2 linked regions of the Lepisosteus oculatus genome follow. The protein of the gene in region 2 purifies or fractionates together with the protein of the main gene of each other region. This does not show direct contact. Links are inferred from orthologs where the notes say so. Each region holds a gene or a part of one and is shown on either strand. Other genes may lie near its edges.

Region 1 (7,746 bases), on a different chromosome or scaffold from region 2:
ACTCTGTCGAGCGATGCTTTCCCCACGGCCTGTATCCTTTCTGTATCCGCTGTGACTGCTGCCTCTCCTGCTCACATGCCAGAGGAGATCTGCACCTGGGTTCCGCCTTCATCCAGAAACACAAAGCGGGCGCAGAACTGGGAGCAAGGCGGCACCACAGCACGCGATCATCTCCGACGGCCAGCAGAACGAAAACACGAGGTTTAGAACGGGACCCAACGCCATCAAGCAGGGCGAGCGGATGATTCAGCCCGTGTTTGTGTTTCCATCTGTTTTTATTTGTCCTCTCCGCAGCTTGTAAGGTGGCAGCTGTTGAACAACTGGCTCCGGGGATCAAAACAGAGTTACATTAACACACACAGGGTTGAAGTGCAAATGCTGTTACCTGAGAAGGCCAAAAGAGTGAGGACAAGCCTAGGACTAAGGGATTGACTCTAACACTTCCTCGCACTCCTCTCTACTCAGTATCTCTCCCACCCAGAGCTGGGCAGGGCCTTGGCATTTGCAGGAGCTGGCTGCTGCAGTCTACACGTGAGAGCGCTGCCTTTTTATGCCTTCGACAAAAGCCTCACGTGTGCACTGAGTCTGATCAGAAAGCCGATTAGACAGCGTGGTACTGAAAGAGTTGACCTTCCCACGACAGCATTCTGGGAACGTGCTAGGAAACCGGAGTGGATGTATTTGCAGACAATGGACACCTCTTCTCTCCTCGCAATCAGGGAAACCTGAGGGCTCCAATCTGATAACTGAAAGGCCAGCCTCTGTCCATTATCATCTCCCCTGATTTAGTCTTCACACGGATTCTAGGGCTGTATCACGCATCTCGTATTATTTTTTTAGCTGATGCACTTATCCAAGATGATGTGCATACCAGACAATTGCTGGACTAAAAAACCCAACATACAGAATAAAGAGAAAGGCAATAACGAAGCACAATACAGAGGGTAAAGCCACAAAAGGTGCAGAAGTGAAAGAAATGCAGGGATGAATTGTAGACTCTTAAAGGTGAAACATGGGCAGGTGGGGCATGAAGAGGCACAGCAAGCTAGGAGAGAGGACAAGGACCTGCTGTGCAGCTGGCACCATTGGCGAGTACTGTACACACCCAGGGGTCTGGATTCTGCAAGAGGACAATCAAACTCCTGCATCACCCAGAGTTTAGCAATTCATTTTTGGCTCACAAAACCCCCTTTCTGCTGTGTAGAAACCGACACACTGCTGTGCCCTCACCTGATCCAGCCATGGTGCCTGTGAGCACAGAGGCTCAGGTTGAAGGCAGGCGAGCTGAGCTGAGCAACTGCAGCTGTCTTAATGAGAACCGCAGTGCAGGTCAGGAACACGCTGGAGGCCAATCTGGATGGCTGATGTTTTTTTTTTCCCTATTCCTGTCCCTCTCATCTATCTTTAAGGCACACTCTCTTTCTCTCGGCACGATGTAAACAGTGTGTATTTAAAGAATCTATTTCTGTTACCTGTGCTCTAATCAAGACCCACATGAATCCCATCTTCTGCAAGCTCTGCCCATTGTCTCCAGCACTGGCAGATGTGCTTGACATGTTTGGAGCCAACGTACTGTGGCCTTTTGATATTCAAATCTGCACACACAAGATATCCCCCTGTGCTGAACAGACATGTGTATCTATTGATCCTCCCAAACTGGGAATGAATAGACCATTTAGGAGGTTAAATAAGCAAATGATCCAAAGAGTCTTGAGAAGCACAAAAACATCCGGTCTGAATCTGGCAGACGCTGCCTCCTACGCACTGCACACTGTGCCAGGAGGATTGGAGGGGGTGAAGCTCAAATAGTCTGTTAATAGCTTCCATTCTTTATTTTTATTTATTTGAACATGTTATAGTTAATGAATAGCCAGAATGGTCCCAGCCCATGTGTATTATATCTACTGATAACGGGTGCCTGCATTCTTAAAAATAATCAAAGGTGTTTACAAAATAAACTTTGCTTTCCTTACCAATCATATGAAAGTAAAGTAATAGTAACATATACAGCAGTAAATGCAAGAACGTTGTGGAAAAGTCTTGCAGTGCACTATTAACTTTGTATTGTTCCTGTGTAATATTTTTCCTATCAAACATTGTTTGGACTGTAATAATATATTTGAATACTTAAAAATTGATCGCCTAAAATTAAGTAATCAATTAATTATTATTTAACTATTAGTTAATAATTATTTGATATTGCCACACAACAATATTTGGTGGAGTTTGCTTTTGGTACAGCAAGAGAACACGATTACGCTGACAAACAACATACAATATTAACAAATACACGTTGAAATTCAGAGACAAGCAAAACACAATCACATCATACGTAAACAGGTAGCAAAGTGAATTGTAAAAGAGATGTTCACAGGTGGCTAAATAGCTGAGGGGAAAGAGTCAAGGACTGTATAGCAGTGGGCCGGGAGCTAAGGTTGAAGCAGGCTCCCTATCCTTTCTGACAGTGCATGACGCTTTCAGATAGGCATATTTCCATAAACCCCTTTATTTTGACACCCCTTGTTGTAAAGCCCTCGATATCTCAGCAGAATCCTGAGACTTGAGTGATTTTAATGGACAGTACAGTCATCAGTGCAGAGTACATAGAGATGAAGCTAATTCATAGATGGGGATGGTCAAGGTCATGAATGATCAAGGCCTGGACACCAGAGTTACACCCCTACTCTTTTTGAGAAATACTGTGACCACAGAAGGTCAGGGTCATCTGAGCGATGGCACCTTTTTAAAAATAGAGTCCCCATTACTATACTGGGGCATTTGGATCCAAATGACTACAGGGTGAGCGCCCCCTGCTGGCCCCACTAACACCTCTTCCAGCAGCAGCCTTAGTTTTTCACAGGAGGTCTCCCACCCAGGTACTGACCAGGCTCACACCTGCGGAGCTTCAGTGAGCTGCAAATGGTGAACTGAAGGGTGATATAGCTAAATTGAATGGAGTGATATAACTAGGTGACCAATGTGGCCTTGAATTACAAAAAAAATACCGTAGTAAAAAAAACTACTGGATGTAACCCCTTTCGGCGATTATCTGCGACCGGGTGAAAGGACTTGCCAAAACGTTCTTAAACTTTAACGTTTCCAGGCACTCAGTGTCTTCGGAGAACTTGGGACACAGAGCCGTGACCCGCCTGCCACCGCCCTCTAGTGGTCAGAGTGTTCCAATACCATAAGTAACGCAAATCCCTTCTGTTCTTTTTAAATTGTTTTTTTTTCTTCTCATATATCATTGGATGTCACAAATACAATGTGTTAGATACGTTCCTGTAAGGCCCTCGGTCTGTATTTGCTACCTTTTATAGAAATATTTATTTTCATTCACCTCGATAATCAACAGTTTTCACACAGCACACAGCAACACACGGATTCGGTAGTTTTTTTTTAATTAGGGACTTTGTTTTTGAATTGAAAGGCTAATTCGCGTCCCGAATAATACACTTCCTTCCCTCTGCCACGACGGGCGATTTAACTACAGTACCGTTAATGATAACTTTTATAATCATATATATATACATGAATTGAGAGAAAATAGATCCTGTCGCTTAGGCAGACAGGATATCGCTTCCCCAACGGAGCTCTGAGGAAATGGAAGAATTTTCCGGGACAGGAGAAGATTGTCGTTATGCTCAAGCTAAGTAATTTGCGACCGATTAGAGGAAGTGTTGTCCTGAAAATACTCTTCCAAACAACCCAAGGTACGAGGAAAATCGGTGTCACTTTCATGTGACTCAGTTTTATTGTACTTCAGTGACTAATGTCCTTTTGGCATTCCCATTGTAATCCAATTAATAGCTTACCCAAAACTACGTGCTTCGTAATGGTTTTTCCTCCCAATAAACTCCGGTGGTCGTTGTTTTTCAAGTAACTGCCACATAGCAGCCCGACGACACACAGATTTTTAAGTGTGCCGATTAAAATGGGATAAAATATACCAGGAACTGGGAGGTGCAGGACTTTTTAAAAATAAATTTCGAGTTAGTGTTTACAGCGCACTGTAAAGGGTAAAAAAATAAATGGCATTTAATTGATTAAAATTCATTTTTAACACTCCACAGCGGAATACGGATACAGGAAAATGCTTAATGGTACAGTATTTGTGTGGTGGGCGTGGGGATGGAATTCACTTCTCGATCATTTTGATCCTCATAGAAGAACGATTACATATAAAGAATAACTCTTTATATCAACAATTACCCATTACTAGATACCTGGTTACAGAAGCTGTATAAGACAAGCCTGAAAATAAAATAAAAACATTAGACCAGAGTCACTAGAATATACTTACAGTCCTGTCAGATTTCAAACCAGTACTGGTGAGTTCTGCAAACCAGTATTTCCATACTCAAAAACAACAACAACAAGACTGCGTCTGGCGTTTCTGTGTAACCAGGGAGAAAGCAGCGTGCCCTCCTGCTGTTGTGTGTCTCGTCCGGGGGGGCTGTCAATAAAGCTGGTTCAAAAGCTCAGGGGGCATTTAAACTTGGGCGCTCCCATGCTGCCCTGCGGCGGGCAGGCTGGATTTCAAATCCTGCGGACCAATCACGGGCGGCGCCGTCGCTTTTAACGAACGGAGCTGGATTTGAAATGCTGTCGAGTCCACAAGGGCTGTATTGCCAGAGAAGGACACAGAGGGGGCTGGTAGAGACGGGCGTTGGAGGGGGGTTAGGACTGGCTGACAAACAAAATACACAGCGCTTTTTGCACACTTTTTTTTATTAACATTAAAGCGTCTCCGTATGAGTCTACATCGAGCCGATTGTCTTCTGCGGGGAAAAGTTTTGATTTGAATTTCTATGCGGCTCGGAGAAAGGGTAGTAGCTGTAAGACTTGGCCTGTGTCCGTTGGTTTGTAGTTTTGGATCTGCCTTTTTTTTAAAAAAAAATCGATATAAGTACAAGTCTCGGTAGGTTCTGTAAAGAGGGCTGAGGTTACATTAATATATTCAAACGCTTAACTTTCGAAATGAGCGCCGCCGCCGTAGCAGCGAAGGCGATGAAGCCGTCAGTGCAGGTTGACCCCAAGTCGGCCCCGCTAAAGGAGGTCCCCGATATTTTGGTGGACACCCGGACCAAGAAGAGGTACCTCCGGGGCCGGTTTCTGGGGAAGGGGGGGTTCGCGAAGTGCTACGAGATCACAGATATGGACACCAAGGAGGTCTTCGCTGGGAAGGTCGTCCCCAAGTCCATGTTACTGAAGCCGCATCAGAAAGAGAAAATGTCCATGGAAATCACGATCCACAAGAGCCTGAATAATGCCCACGTCGTCGGGTTTCACGGCTTTTTCGAGGACGAGGACTTCGTGTACGTGGTCCTGGAGATCTGCCGGAGACGGGTGAGTACTGTAACTGTCAGGTCGGGCCGAGCCCGGGCGGAGGAGAGGACAATCCGGCATTTCTGTAACCGAAAGGATGGGGTGGCGAGTTGTTAACCGACTGATGAAGCTGATGATAGTGGCGAGTTGTTCACCTGCTGTTTTAATAAGTTACATTTTTAGAGGAAAATGCTCGGTGTCCCATTTTGGTAACTTTCTAAAAAAACGGTTACCCGGAGATGAGTGGTTTTTAAGTGTGTGTGTGTGGGCGGCGGGGCGCACCCCCTCAGTACTGCAACCCCATTTTTTCTGCGAATGGAACCCGATTGCGCGTACGCCAGCCTTTTTTTTCCCCTCGGGTCGGGTGTTGCGCAGCCTCCCCCGGCCGTGCGCTTGCCTGGACTCGCATTGCCATGACGCTCCGAGCGCCTCCTGCAGTTCCTGTTCCTATGGAGTGTGGCTCCTGCCCGAGCTATTCCAGCGTGTCAAAGGGAACACCCCTCCCCTTCCCCCCAACAGACTCTAAATGTGCACCTTTTGGCTACCCTTGTATCCAAACTGTTTGGGAATGAGTGCAGTGATTACTTTCCCCCGCTGCGTAAAGATCAAATTTTTTTTTGGAGGCGTCTTACAACTTAATAGGAACAAGTAATAGGTTTATTCCGTGCTGAAAAGAGCAGAGAGGAAATGCAGCGTTTCGGGTGTGGAGCCTTCCTCACAGCTGAAGAAGGCTCCACAGCCGAAACGTTGTTTCCTTTCTTCTCTTTTCAGCACGGAATAAACCTATCACTTGTTCCTTTGCAGCCTATGCATGCTGATGCAGCTACCTAGCTGAACTACTTACAACTTGATAGGGTTGATTTGCTTTTGTACTTAAGTATTTCATCCCGTAATCTCCCCCATTTCTCCTGTTCAAGTTGTAAAACTTCCCTTCTGACACGTTTTTGCAGAGTCTGTACTTCTAACCTAATTGCATTTCTTTCACTGAGGTCTTTGAACATCTTTTTTTTCCCCACCCCTCCAGTCTCTGCTGGAGTTGCACAAGAGGAGGAAGGCGGTGACTGAGCCGGAGGCCCGGTATTATATGAGGCAGACTATTGTGGGGTGCCAGTACCTCCACAACAACAGAGTGATCCACAGAGATCTCAAGCTGGGGAACCTGTTTCTGAACGACGAGATGGAGGTCAAGATAGGTAATGCAGCTGGGCCTGCTCAGAAAACTGTTCTTCTGCCTGCAGAGACGAGCCAGGGGTTCTGTTTCGTAAAGATCTGGACTCGTGTCCAGGCACCAGTGAGGGGTGGGCAGTGATGTGGACTGGGGGTCTCCAGTCTAGAGGTAGGGGGTTTTTGGGGGATCCCTTTGGGTTTTGGAGCTGCGATGTTAGAAAATTGTCAGCTGACATTCATTTCGTGAAAAGGAATAATTCCTCAGACTTGTATAGCGCTTTTCTGGACAATCCACTTTACAGGTAATGGGAACTCCCCTCCACCTCCACCTCCACCAGTGTGCAGCCCCACCTGGATGATGTAACAGCAGCCATAGTGCGCCAGTATGCTCACCACACACCAGCTATTAGTGGGGAGGAGAACAGAGTAATGAAGCCAGTTCATAGAGGGGAATTAATTAGGAGGCCATGATTAATGAGGGCTAATGGGAAATTTGTCCAGGACGCCGGGGTTACACCCCTACTCTTTTTGAGAAACACCCTGGGATTTTTAATGACCACAGAGAGTCAGGACCTCGGTTTTACGTCTCATCCGAAGGACGGCGCCTGTTTACAGTATAGTGTCCCCGTCACTACACTGGGGCATTAGGACCCACACAGACCACTAACTGGCCCCACTAACGCCTCTTCCAGCAGCAACCTTAGTTGCTGATAGTTGAAATCCCGAGCCAAGAAACTGGCAAACCCTCGAAAACGTACTTTCCTTCCTGTTGCATCCGAGATGAACTGCTCACGTGCGCAGACTGGTCAAATGACATCAGTGCCTCTATGTGTTCCTCATGCTCTAGGCGTCAGCTCTGCATCCTGGCTCCCTGAGTCCATGCCTGCCTGTTTTTTTTTGCCCCCCTGCAGGCGATTTTGGCCTGGCCACGAAGATCGAGTACGATGGCGAGCGAAAGAAGACTCTGTGCGGCACGCCGAACTACATCGCCCCCGAGGTGCTGTGCAAGAAGGGCCACAGCTTTGAGGTGGACATCTGGTCACTGGGCTGCATCCTGTAAGCACTGGAGTTGGGGGGGCGGGGGTAGTTATTGAGCGTGTGTCAGCTAGAAGACTTGCGTTCTCCGGTGTGGTTTTGGACTGGACTGACCATATTGACTATTGGCTGTGCTGTCTACCAGAATGATCTGCCTGCTGTTAGTTAGTGCACCTCGCTGACTGACGAACCCGTCCCCCCCCTCTCTGTCCAGCT
Region 2 (8,156 bases):
ATCCCACTTTCTCCAGATATGTTTGTAGAAAAACCTACCAATTGGAAAAATATATATACACCTTGTTTCTGTTGGCAGCAGTTAAATATTGCTATTCGTTTTAGCAAGTGTATCATTTAAGGGCGTTATATGTCATTAAAGAAAAGCACCATCATTGAGAGACCCAGCAAAGGAGTCCAATGAAACACTACCACTTACTGATCTACAAAAAACAAAAGCAAAACTACAGAATAATAAGGATCACTGGTTACAAAAAGGGGTAACAGTTTGTAGATACAACAAAAGTTTTCATGGAAATTCACAAGGCTTTCATTAACTTTCACTTTTCCAAGAACCACATTCATCATTCTCCACTTCAAACCTCTGTACAGAACAACAAAGTCAGGACTGTCTGGATTTTCTCCAGCTAAGTAAAACAAGTTCTAAATATGCATAAATAATTTACCTTAAGTGCTCTAAAGCAAGTGCTGTTTGATCGAATTCCCCTGATTCATCAAACACAACACTGAGTTCCTGCAAAGGCACTTGATGTTCTTTTGCCTCCAGCAGGTCCCTCATGGACTCCTCTGTGAGCTCACAGCCTTTTCTCTCACACAGGAGAGGCTGAACCAGCTCCACCCTGGCTTTCAGACTGGAACACTCCACATCCACCACCTGCAATGACAGTTAGAAAGGACTTCTGAGTCACCAATCTCAGAATTAAATTAAAAAGCTTTTAGCAACATTGCATAACACCTCCCAATTGTTCCCCGGACTTTTTTAAAATATAAAGCTAACTGAATGCATAAAAAGATCTAAAAACAGAACAAACCAGTGCACTGATTTAAGAAAAGCATCTTGTGACAAGGAAGGCATGATTAAAGTAAAAATGAAATTATAAAATGAAAATCAAGATAAGGTTGAGTGATTTTTTTGGGAATGGGAGAAACATTACCATTTTCTTCTTTTAGAAAAAGCATTACTGATCTCATGAAACCATAGATCTGTAGCACATTCCAAACAACTATTTTTGAATTGCACTCCAATCGTGAGTGGCAAACAATGCAGCTAAGTGTATCAAAAACAAGACAAATTAGAATTACCTTACTTTAACTGCAAGTAAATTTAGTTGTGCCCCAAATGGTCAATAGTATTGAAAGATTCTAACCCTTCTAAGAGACACCTAAAATGCCTGAATTTGTTTTCCTGTCAGTGCTTTGTACAAGATGTTACAAGAGTTGACTTTCAGTTCTATTGCCTCAAGCTCTCTGTACTTTTGCAATAAACAAAGGTGAAGAAGGTGCCCACGATGGTGCATTCAGACATACCTCAACCAGTACATCAAACACTTCTGTGCTCCACACAGCACGCCAGCCACAGGGCTCCAGAACCTTCTCCAAGTAGTCTGCAGTAAAATCTCTAACTTCTGAGGTTTTACAGTCACCTTCAGGGAAACCAAAACACACATTGTTAGGACTCATTTCTGCAATCTGTCTATCCATTATCAGACATCCAAGTATTACTGGTGAGGGTCACAGCAAACCAGAACATCCTGTAAGCACAAGACAGGGCTACATCCCACACAGCACCACAGTGCATCACGGGACACATATGCGCAAGTATGTGGAGCAATTTACAAATGCCAATTCAGCATGCCTTTGGAAGACCGGAGGAAACTCCTTTGAAACAAAGAACCGTCAGCACACCACTCCAGAACCAAATATCTGTGAAAACGCAGCAACACTGTGTGCCATATCACTGTGCCACACAACTCTGTATTCATAAAGATTAAATATTTTTAAACCAATGTGAGTATCTGCTGACCAAAACTGTGCCGTTTTGACCTTTAAGAACAAAGAGACCTTTTCATGGTTTTCATAAAGGATGGATTGTAAGCAATCCTGAAATAAAGTATCAACATCTGTCAGTGCATCCCTCAATTTTATGAAAAGGTTTCTGAAGAAATATGCATAGTACCTTACACTTATATAGCATTTATCTGGCCACTCCACTCAAAGAGCTTTACAGATAGTGGGGACTCCCCTCCACCACCACCAATGTGTAGCACCCATCCAGATGATGCGACAGCAGCCAAAGTGCACACAATATACTCAACCCACATCAGCTCTCAGTGGGGAGAACAGAGTAATGAAGCCAATTCTTAGATGGGGATTAGGAGGCCATGATTGGTAAAGACCAAAGGGAAATTTGGAACAATAGTGCAAAGTGAGAACAGTCAATATAGAAAGCAATTACCTAGCATGTAATCTTGATAAGCTTTAAACCTCTCATAAAACAGAAGCTGGTTAGTCTGGAAGATGTCAGGGAAAGCAACATTTCCTGTGCATTCTGCCCTCTGTAAAACTGTGCCTGGCTTGTCACTGCTGCCATAATCACTACAACTGTCATCATCTTCCTCGGTATCTTCATCTTCATCATTTTCCTGAAAAAGAACTAAGAAAACACAAAACAATCAAACTTAATACTTGAAAGATTTAAGGGAATCTTTTGGTTAAACAGCGTCAAGTTAACATCACTTTGTCGTATTTGAATGCCCACTATGTAATTCAGAGTTTTTATCTAGACCAAATTAACGGTGCTTCTCCCTTCAATCAAAACAAGGAGGTTCACCAAAAAACTCTAAACAAAGGGAGATCTGTTTCTGGACAAATCCTCAAGTTTGAAAGTTTAACTTAGACCGACAGTAATACACAAAATTGCTTTTAAGCTCGTTGCTAACAACGAAAGATATTCAAATACAGAGCTGAAAAAAAATCGGAATTTGATTGCATTAGTAACTGCAATAGCTTCGGTAATACCTCTTTACCTGTTTAAATATGATCGATTTTAACTTTGGAATGTTGCAATTACTACTAAGGTAACCTCAGCGAAAAACAGGAGACGCTCCTCTCACTCTATAAATTATCTTAGGCTGTACATTTTATATCTGAACAACAAACAACGGCCTACCTTGCTTTATATACAGAATTTCACCAGGCATCTGATCGATTCCAGCAGGTTCCATTTCAACTTCTGTTTCCAAATCGATCTTTTCTTGTATTTCATTTTGTATTAGAGACGTAGCCGCTCCCTCGTCACATTTTGCTACAGGCTTAATTTGCAACTCTGGAATGCCAGCGTTTGTTTCAGCCTGCATTGTACTTGCAGAGGCGATATCTTCAGCCATTGTACTTGTTAAGGTTAAAGCGAGTCTAAGTTACTTTTAAAAAGTGTGCAACCGTCTAACAAACTTTAGTGAAAGAAACCATTAAAACACATCCTATACTTTGCTCCTCCTGCAAACAAATTCAAAATTCCCCCGGTTAAGAGAAGACTGACCAATGAGAAAACAACATGAAAACGCAATTTCCTTTTCTGGTTAGGCTCATGACGTCATTGACTAAAAAACAAAACAAGAGCACGGCTCTAAAGAGCCAAAATGGCGTACAAGAACTGCAGTTACACAGGACTGTAATACATTACAAACAGGAGATGAGGTGTTAACAGAATTATTATAGCAGGCAAAAGCGAATTACTAATGAATGACTAAAAATTAATAAGTATTAATTCGATCTAATAAATTAATTAATATAACTTATGTCAACAACATAAAAGTTAAATATATTTATGAACCCGTATTTGAAATAAAACATTATATATTTAACTGTATTCAACAAAAATGTTTTATGTGTTGTGGTTGGATATATGTAATTCATGCATAAGTCTTTTTTACCTTTAATTCTGCACTAACAGAAGCAACTTTATTTATATGAACCATGCAGGGGCAGTGCTATTAAAATATCCCCCCCCCCCCCCCCCTCAAAAAAAAATAAATAAAAAAAATACAAGGGAAATGGTCAAACCAAATTATCAGTATTCTGTCAGGTCAGTAATTGTGAACTGCTGCATGAGAGCTATCTATATCATATTGAAATCTCCACATTTCATTTAGTGCTAAAGGGCTGCTGTCACAGATGTCGGAAGGGATGAACCGTGGAGAGGCGGGAGAACAGAAAAAGACCCATATGCGTAGCAGCGGAATGGGAGATTACCCCAGGCTCAGCAGTTCAGGAGTCGTATAGAAACCAATGCCCTCAGGCAGCGGATGTGGGGCCACCTGGATGCTAGGCGGGTCTCAGGACATCCGAACATCAATGCTGAGCGAAGGTGAATGAGAAACCCGGAAATATATAGCCCAAGAAAGAGAGACACCGGAAGGACAGCAAAGCATAGGAAACTAGGGACAGAACAGAGTAGGAGCGCCCTCTGGCTGCAGAGGGCGTGACAGCTGCAGATGTAAAAGTATTGGCTTTTGGGTTATGGCAGTTCAATAAACTCAAGATTTTTCCATTACTTCTGACACTGAGAGGCTGTAGTGGAGGGTATTGTTGCCTTTAAGTGTATCTTGATCTTTAATAATCTTTCATGCAGACTGTAGTTGAAAAATCAATGCAAAACACATTTTTCTAAAGAAACCTTTCAGTCAAGGAAAGAAGATTCATAATGAACCCATCAGTAGAAACCCTGAGGACGCCCTTCTTCATGTTCACACGTGAGTTACATTACTGCTGCTGCAGGGGAAGAGCTGAACTTGTGTTTTTTTTCTAGCCATGCTCCAAAGGTAGAAGGCAGCTGCTGAGAGATGCCTGAAGATGAATGGTGTTGCTGGCGCTTTTCAGAAAAAGCTTTTCTGGAGAAGAAACCTGGAGCTGTACAATTTTGTGGCCTCAACACAACCAAAAACAGTTGTGCCACATGATACATAAGAACATAAGCAAGAGGAGGCAATTCTGCTCATCTAGTGTGTTACAAGAATTTCAAGTGGATGGCAGAATAAAAAAAAAGAAAAGAGACACAACACAGAGCAATCATTGTGGAACCTTCTTCAGGTGCATCACTTCTTTCCCTTTCAGCATGGGATAAACCTTTATCTGTTCCTTTGTTACACAGATGTCATAGAGCTGTTTTTTTGGAAGGAAGCCAAGATATCGGCTTCAACAAGATAACAGGTAGCTTATTTGATAACACCACAACCTTTTGTGTGGAGCACTGCCTCCTATTGTCTGTTTTAAATGCACTCTCACATATTTTCCACTTGTCGTCTCTGGGTAGTGTTGGAATATTGTTGATTTAGATTTGACATAGACTTTGGCGAAGACCTTGAAGATTTTGAATACTTGTATCAGGTCCATTCGTAATCGTCTCTGTTCAGAACTTAAAATGTTCAGATATTCAGCTTTAACTGCACAGAGGATAGCAGAAATACTGTAGCTGTTTTACTTCTCCAATCCATTTTACTTCTATCAGTTTAGAATGTCAGCAAGAACATTCTTTTTACTGGTGGTGGAGCTGTAGTAGGACAAATAAACTTATCTATTGAATTAAGTTTAATTTAATATAGGACCTCCAAAAAGCAATCATTGGTCTGATATTACCAATGTAAAATCATTTGTAATATCAATTTGAATTCCTAGCCAATTTTGTAACATGAATAATAATCCTAACCCTTGAAACTAACTTTTAAAACAAAACAAAACAAAAGTCATCCTCGCTCCTGCCTAATCTTTATTTCTATCCCACAAAACCTAGTTTAATGGAAAACTAAATATAACTGTAATATAACAAAAACCCGAACACACGCCAAAGTGTTAAACTTTATACTGATCCTTATTCAGCTCTATCCCCAGTCCCTTCCCAACTAGCCAAGCTCTTACTTCCAGCCTACTGTAGTTCTAGGCTTATCCTAAATATTAACCCAAAAGGAAGCTGATACAAGAACCAGTGTGATGACAGAAAGTACCACAATAAATCTATAAAATTATTTTCCGTGGCTAAATAAATGATTCATGTGCTTATTATGGGTGAATTTCATTCAGTGTAACAACTCAGTCTGCACACTGTCATTTCAGAGATGTTTTGATTGCAATTAGGAATCAGTAATTTATTAATCAGCATGAAGCGGACCCCACAGACTTTGCAACATTTTACTTCTAATTTGATTGTCTGAAGCAGCAGAGTGGAACTATTCTGGATGTGTGGCAATGGGTCTTCATATAGCCACCCAAGAACAGAACGATGCATTTTTGAGCCATTCCCAGAGACAGCAGAGTGGCAGCTTTGTATCCTCTGGTCCAAAGAATCCTCTGTTAAAAACTATTGGAAATGGTCCCTGCTGAACTTCTCTCATTTCTCAGGCAGATGGCAATAGAGAGACGTTTTTAAAACCAGCAAACAGTAAAAACACAATTTTACCATATAAGATCAACGTTAATAAAAGATTATGCTAATCTGTATGAAGATTATTTTTACAATGCTAACAACGTTAACAAGTGTTATATTTTTGCAGATTGCTGTAACAATACCGGATAAGCAGCCTGAAAAACAATATGAAAGGCAATTTATAAAATAGGACATTATTGATTTTGTCAGCTTTAGTGTGATGTAAAAATTACAATGAAATAGTAATAAAAGTAGTAGTAAGAACAATATTTGCTAATTATTTTGCTCATAAGCAGAACAGCTGAGTGGCAGATATTTATATTACTGCTTTACAGCTCTTGGCTGCTGAGTTGGATTCCTGACTCATTACTTTTACTAGAGTTTGCATGTTCTCTCAATTTCCTCTCACCTTCTAAGGGTATGCTGACTAGGCTCTAGGTGGCCAACTCTGGTACTGAAGAGCCACAATCCAGCAGGTCTACAGAACAGATTGACAGGTATTAATTTAAATATTGCAATATTTCATTAACATTAAAATATTTGAAGTATAATAAATGACTTAAATTAGAAAAATATAAATTCTTTAAAAATAGAAACATGTGGCTAGGGTGGCAAGTGGCACAGTGGTTAGCATTGGTACCTTGCAGTGCTGGGGCCCTTGGTTAAATTTCTAGGGTGTTTTCTGAATGGAGTTTGTCTAATGGAAACCTATGTTTTTAATACGTTTTGTCTAGGTACTCTGGTTTCCTTCCACAGTCTATAGGGTAAATTAACTGGCGTTCCATCCAGGGTGTACCCTGGCTTGTGCCTATTGCTTAAAGGATAGGTTCCAACTCCACTGCGATACTGTGTTATGTAAAGGGGCTTTAGAAAATGGATGAATGGATGAAAATGGGTCTAAAAAGGTTTTTGGAATAAACTACAGTACTTTGTGAATTTATCTCAGTAAGTTTTGACCTCGCAAAAAGCATGCTCATCATTGTCACACCTTTCACATACATTTCAGCCTTGTGATGGGATTTGGCGTTAACACACACCATTAGAAATTCCCCTCCACAGTGTCCATTTGAAGACTAGGTCAATCCTTTTATCCACAATATTGGCTGCATGTTAGTCCGGAGACTCAGAAAAAGCATCAGAGAGCCAGCAGGTGTCCTGCACAATGGTTTTGTGGAATGACACTTGTAACACAGGAAGAAGACAGCTGCAGGGAGTGAGTCACAGAATACCACTCCCACTGCACTACTGATCAGGCTCATGTCATCCTATTTTAACAGATTTCTAGCCAAGGATGAATTTTACTTCAACAACAACAACAACAAAAGGAGTACAATAAAGAAAAGTAATAATAATAATAATAATAATAATAATAATAATAATAATAATAATTATTATTATTATTATTATTATCATTATTATTATTATTATTATTATAATGTCTGATTTTAAAATCTGACATTTGTGGCTGATGGCAGAGTTCTGTCTATTTACGTTTGTTCTGTCTTTCTGTCTCATTCAGTTGTTAACACGACAATTCAATAATGCCTGTATATCAACAGAACAACTAGCGTCCTGTCCAGGGAGTATCCCGCCTTGCACCCATTGCTTGCCAGGATAGGCTCCAGCTCCCCCATGACCCTTTATTGGATAAAGGGGTTAAATATTGAGAGAAAGATTGGATAAAGTCTTATTTTGTGTCTTTCAGTGATTTAAAACTTTAGTAATATATTTTGACTTTTAGACTGGTAATTCTTTGCCAATCTTTAGCAGGTGATGACAGCCCAATTAGGTGTCAGTAGCAATAAAGGAAACCTGACCATAATGTATTCTAGTGCCCAATGTAGCCATAGCAACCACAATGTTCAAAGCCATTCTGCCTTTCAAGAGGGGGATATATCCCATCCCTAATGACAAGCCTGAGCTCTGAAAAACAAACCTTCTCCTTTCAGAGCTTTTTA

The links.
Region 1: the proteins of shcbp1 (region 2) and plk1 purify together in Homo sapiens (affinity purification with western blotting; 3 studies listed by BioGRID, with this or other methods). This does not show direct contact. The link is inferred for Lepisosteus oculatus from reciprocal best matches to the Homo sapiens genes SHCBP1 and PLK1.

The regions. Positions count from the first base shown.
Region 1 is NC_090714.1:12,120,370-12,128,115, forward strand, and holds the start of plk1 (serine/threonine-protein kinase PLK1), read left to right. Parts: upstream 1-4,571; 5' UTR 4,572-4,980; coding exon 4,981-5,349; intron 5,350-6,352; coding exon 6,353-6,521; intron 6,522-7,406; coding exon 7,407-7,551; intron 7,552-7,744; coding exon 7,745-7,746. UniProt on the Homo sapiens protein: Serine/threonine-protein kinase that performs several important functions throughout M phase of the cell cycle, including the regulation of centrosome maturation and spindle assembly, the removal of cohesins from chromosome arms, the inactivation of anaphase-promoting complex/cyclosome (APC/C) inhibitors, and the regulation of mitotic exit and cytokinesis.
Region 2 is NC_090715.1:6,687,340-6,695,495, forward strand, and holds the start of shcbp1 (SHC SH2 domain-binding protein 1), read right to left. Parts: upstream 3,309-8,156; 5' UTR 3,167-3,308; coding exon 2,950-3,166; intron 2,434-2,949; coding exon 2,236-2,433; intron 1,424-2,235; coding exon 1,308-1,423; intron 655-1,307; coding exon 446-654; intron 35-445; coding exon 1-34. UniProt on the Homo sapiens protein: May play a role in signaling pathways governing cellular proliferation, cell growth and differentiation. May be a component of a novel signaling pathway downstream of Shc. Acts as a positive regulator of FGF signaling in neural progenitor cells.